Kluyveromyces lactis: one gene and its partner. The protein of the gene in region 2 purifies or fractionates together with the protein of the main gene of each other region. This does not show direct contact. Links are inferred from orthologs where the notes say so. Each region holds a gene or a part of one and is shown on either strand. Other genes may lie near its edges. The genes, in order: KAR4 and MUM2.

Region 1 (2,529 bases), on a different chromosome or scaffold from region 2:
GAAGATTTGATCTGGGGTCTTTTCATGAACAAGTATATTTTCCCTGGTGCTGACGCTTCTACACCGTTAGATTTTGTCGTTTCAAAATTAGAAGCTACTGGATTTGAGGTCGTTTCGATTGATAATATCGGTGTTGATTACTCCGCAACTTTATGGAGATGGTACAGAAACTGGATTGGCCATAAGGACGATGTTGTCAACAAGTATGGGATGAGATGGTACAGAATCTGGGAATTTTTCCTAGCATACTCCACTATTATTTCCAGACAGGGCTCTGCCACCTGTTTCCAAATTGTCTTGAGAAAGAATTTGAACGCTTACCATAGAATTAACTATGTACCAAAACAAAAAGGTTTATTGACTCCAATCAAGGAAGGTGTTGAACAATGGTTCAAATGAATAAAATGCCTTTAACTGATGTTTTTATTCATTCAAAATAACCGGCCGATTTTGGGAATGGAGATTGTATTGATAATGACCACAGTGACTAGACATAAAACACATGACACATATCGTATGCCTCGTTCAAATCAAGACCTTAGCCCTTCTGAATGCAAATTAGAAATTACAAGCTTATATATACCATCAATTTTTAATAGATATTGGAGATTTTGGTCTTAATGACTCTATGGAGGGATCTTTTGGCAGGTTCGATCCAACTCTTCCAACCTCATTTTTATATTCCATAGCGTTGAAGTTGTCTAGCAGTACATCTGGACCCATGATAACCCAACCAGGTCTCATCCGGATTGGTGTTTCACTTCCTGTTCTGGCGGGAACGATATGAAGTCTCCTTGTAGCGGTGCTAAAATTCTCTGCTACCTTGTACAATTGATTCGGAATTGCCCCAACTTTACTATTTTTTGATTCGATTGCTAAATCGGTATCAATGTTGCAATGTATGAGATGGCCATCCGTGGCTCTTCTTACTGTTCCTGTGATACACATCCAACAATGCCATTGCATCTTTTCAAAAAGTGACTCGTCGTCTGCTTCTAATCCGGGGTAAAATGGTGAATTCTTGTTGACAGGGACGAAAACCAACTCCTCACTTCTGCGAAACTTTTTTGCCCATATTTCGTTGTTCAAAAGTCTTGAAAGCTCATTGATCTTCTGTGCACTTCCCCATACAAATAAAAACCCTGGCTTTGATATCAATTTATGTATCGGTAACTGAGTTAAAAGGGGATAGATAAATTGATTATCAGTCAAGCAACCAATCATGACAACATCGAAAGTTAAACCATCTTTTTGTACCCAATCATTTAATGTGGGAACTATTTCATCAAGCTCTACCTTGCAACCAAATGGTTTTGTATTAAACTGCATTACCTGCCTTTCCTTCAGGCTAAATAGCCTCTGCAACTTCGGATATCCATCAACAGTATTCTCAATGTTTCTTACGTGGGTTTGGGGAAGCGATCCAGTATGTATATAGTTATTTGAATGATCATTCGTGTGAAACTCATTTGCAGGCCTAAGTGTGACATGTTCTCTCGCTACGCTCTTACTCGAATTCCCCTTTTTCTGATATATTTCCTCTAAAACCGCCGACATTTCAGCAGCCAGTTATAGTTTTATCCTGAGAAAAGTACTAGAAATAAGTGTATACTTGAAACAAAAGTGCTTTCCATATGAGTATAAATACTACTGTGTGAAATTGGGTTTTAGCAGATGATGCCTTGTACTAGCACTAGAAATGTGTCTTTTAATTGTTACTCATAAGAATATTTTGCCGCCGTTTATAAAGGATTTTCATTCTTGACATATGTTCGCGTTTTCCGTTAGAATGAAAGTTTCAATCTGAAACTATCAGTGACAAAAAGAAGCGTCAAAACAAAAAAAGAAAAAAATTATTTTCTTCGCTGTCGCAGGTTTATGTCAAGCCTTTTGGTTCAACAGACACTAGGAATAACAGCAGATTTGAATTTCCTGTCACAAAATGTTTGGTTTGGGTTTGACCTGTGTTTTGAATTACAGCATTTGATATTTCCTGTTCGAGAACGTATTATCTTCAAAAATATAGAGCATGCACACGATACACGCAGTCGATAGTGAGATTGGCATGTTATATAGTATCTCTTCTGGGGAAAAAGATCTATCTAAAAAGTCTAATGATCTTTTAGAAAACGTTGGACGGTACACTGAAAACTTAGTCATAGATTTGAATGTACTTCGAGAAATCCAAGTTATCAATGATACTATTCTAAAATCAGAAGCTTTTTTGGAAGCAGTAGTTGTGCAGAACGGTGGTGAAAACCCTGTGTTCCAGTATTTGCATGATATCGAAACAAAAAGCAAGGGTCCTTTTGACCCAGAAAGCAGATCAATTATGCAAGAGATAGTTTATAAAACTGTTTCGAGTAGGTTTGAGTTCAACAAGATATGGTTACCAAAATTTTTCCTGAAAGTACCAAAGTCATTCAGTGCAGGTGTAATTTTGCAAGAACAATTTTTGGTAAGTTTATGGGATACATTAGATGATGATATGTTTTTGACATTTGTGAACGTTTGCTGTTCGATGCTTCG
Region 2 (3,036 bases):
TAATTTCGATGCTGAAAACGTAAAAAAGACGCAAGCCGAATTGGTCAAGGCAAAGGTTGCTGATGCTGAAGGTGTCCAAAGAAGAATCATGGTTGATTGTTCTCATGGGAATTCAAAGAAAGATTTCAGAAATCAACCAAAGGTGGCTCAGTCACTTTACGAACAACTATCAGCTGGTCAAAATGCTATCTGTGGTGTCATGATCGAATCTAACTTAGTCGAAGGTAGACAAGACGTTCCTCCAGAAGGTGGCCGTGAAAAGTTGATTTACGGATGTTCTATCACCGATGCCTGTATCGGTTGGGAAACAACTGAAGATGTTCTAAGATTATTGGCAAAGGGTGTTAAAAACAGAAGAGCTCTTTCAAAGGCTTGAATAACAATCACTTTTCCCGCATCGTTTTTGTAATACCTCATAATCTTCTTAAACACACAATCACTTCTTGAAAAGATAGCCAAACTCAGGTAACTGGAAGAATAAACGGCCAACCAATATTTATTTTCCGAGCCTCCTCATGTACATATTACAAGGACAAGTCCGCATACAGTTTATTTAATCAACTAAAATTACTTCACATAAAGGTCTACACTTTGTATGTTCAAGTTTCTCTAATCGTAAGTTTCTAACGTCGGATGAAATAAATATCAATGGTTCATTTACATTTTTGTGTGTCAGCAAAGTATACCTAATCTAGGTAGATGTTATATAGCATACATGTATCTTGAATTACTCTCGAAAGTTTTTAGATCGTCAAATAAAACGTCCAACTAGAATGTCATTGGCAGAAAAAAGCAAAAATATCAGAAAAAGAAGGATCAAGATCTTATACTTTGGTGTTACTTTTCTTGCTGTAGAATCCTTAGTCTTTCTTTGAGTTCTTGGTTTTCTTTACGTAAAAGTTCGAGCTCGATACTTGTCTCCTTCACTCGACCATAACTAAGCATTTTTGCCATTTCTTCGTTTTCCTTCATTAAAGTTTCCAATCGAGTTACCATTTTATGTGCTAAAGCTTCTTCGTCATATCTACCAAACTTTGTAGTAGAATTTGAAGGGTTAAGCGCAACCGCTGTAACTATTCCTTCTAGTCGTCTTTTTGTTTCTTGTAATTCTTGGTCCTTTCTCTTTAATGAATCTGATAACTTACAAAATATTATTTCCAGGGATGCCGGTATCTGGATTTCAGAATCGAAAGTAAGAGCCTTTGATTTCTTCATTTTCTGCTCTTCTTGCTGCTTGAAAGTCAAACCCTGATTGAATACCTCCTTCAATTTTTTTATCTCTATTTCTAACGATTCTATCTGTGTCTCTTTCAACTGTAGTTCAAGTTTGAAGTTGTCTGATGATGGCTCTGTTTCAGAGTCGAAAGTGGTATTGAATCCTGAGCTTTTAGCATATGATGATCTGTCCATTATTACCGTGTTATTTGAAGAGCTTCCAGGATGCGTGTTTGACGAAATGCCTCTCGAGGACTCTATCTCGGGCGAATTATGTTGTTCTATGAGCGGCTGTTCCCAATATGATGACATGCTGCTCCTATGAGTAGAAGATCCGCTCAAATGGCCCTGAAGTCCTTGGTTATAGTGGGAGCCCATACCATCAATGTTCCCATGTAAGCTGAAGCTACCTCCATGTGCCATGCTGGAGTTCATGACATTGGCGGTTGTGCCATACAATTTGGACTCGTCAGAACTACCAAAATTCAGATTGGCGAAAGAGTTATCCAAACTCTGTTGGTTATATTCAGGTTGCTACACGATAACATTGACCTGTTAGTAAAAGGTTAATTATGAGTTAGAAACATTTATAGTCTCAATTTGGTTGTTCCATGTTTCATAGAAAACAGGGACAGACAGAAACAGTATTGATTAAAAATGTGTCATGTAGGCAATCCTCCAATGTATGCAAAAACTTACGTAAGACATATATCCGTTTGAATTCATGGTTTTAAAATAACTTATGGTTTGTTGATCGTTTTTGGAAGATTGTGTGACTACTTACTTGGTAACAAGTGTTCTGTCACTGGTAAATAATTGATCTAGTTTGCTTTATTTTTAAGGGCAGATCTGACATGTTTCATTTTCAGGGAATCATGAAGCATATTCACGTGACTTGCAATGGCTGGACACAACTGCCTCCAGACAGGAACCGCTATAAATAGGAATAAGCCCACCATACTGTATTGAATTGAGTCATGTACGAGGATATATATGTATATATGGACACACAACCATATCGTTGAATACCCAATGCAGATAGGAAGGTGGGCAAGTCCTATTTTTTTAGAGTTTCATGTTGTGATGCATGTCTCTTTTATTTAGAGAGGAGATGCCTCTTATTCTTCAAGGTTGAAGAAAAACATGTAGCCATTCTTTTCTATGTCCTCGAAATTTGGTTCATCGTTGGCCAAGAGAATTTTTTCATCGTTGTAGAGAACCCATTGTTCTTTTCCTTCGACCACTTTCTTAATAAATGCAACGTAATGGCCACTGTGAACTGAATTACCTTTATGGCATATGACAGCAGTCAGTTTATACTTAGCAGAGGCAATTGACGATGCTGGGATTCCAAAACTTTTTCTGGATTGATCCTTCCATTCCTCAGCTTCAGGTAACTCCCCGTCGTCATCCATATGGGAGAAAACCCATTCTACACTGGCATTGACGTCACCATTCTTCAATATCAAAGCTTTGCGGCATAGTTTCGAATCAAGCCCCATAGCAGTCATACTGTTTAGTGCTTCTGAATCGACACGATTTTTCGCTGAGGATGAAGCATGAGGATCAAAGGCCTCGTTTAAGTTAGGGTCCTCCATATGCTGGAACAACCATTCCGTGGCTGCATTAGGGTCAGAGTTTCCCGTTTCAAATAATGCTCTTTTGGTAGCATTGCGAGAGAATCCCATCTGTTCTAATTGTCCTAGGAACAATTCGTTGAATTGGAAGGAATCTGATTCCTCTTCTTCTTCGACTTCTTCCCCTTCGCAAATTCCTGTAGCTTTGAATGGGGACATATCTAGTAAAGCATCATCGCGTACA

The links.
Region 1: the proteins of MUM2 (region 2) and KAR4 purify together in Saccharomyces cerevisiae (affinity purification with mass spectrometry; 3 studies listed by BioGRID, with this or other methods). This does not show direct contact. The link is inferred for Kluyveromyces lactis from reciprocal best matches to the Saccharomyces cerevisiae genes MUM2 and KAR4.

What each region holds. Positions count from the first base shown.
Region 1 is NC_006039.1:48,540-51,068, reverse strand, and holds KAR4 (Kar4p), read right to left. Parts: upstream 1,558-2,529; coding exon 586-1,557; downstream 1-585. Other genes in the region: KLLA0_C00715g (uncharacterized protein), read left to right, coding at 1-399; KLLA0_C00671g (uncharacterized protein), read left to right, coding at 2,030-2,529. UniProt on the Saccharomyces cerevisiae protein: Component of the MIS complex, a complex that mediates N6-methyladenosine (m6A) methylation of meiotic mRNAs and is required for initiation of meiosis, progression through the meiotic divisions and sporulation.
Region 2 is NC_006042.1:1,720,348-1,723,383, reverse strand, and holds MUM2 (Mum2p), read right to left. Parts: upstream 1,651-3,036; coding exon 838-1,650; downstream 1-837. Other genes in the region: 3-deoxy-7-phosphoheptulonate synthase ARO3, read left to right, coding at 1-376; ubiquitin-specific protease UBP14, read right to left, coding at 2,334-3,036.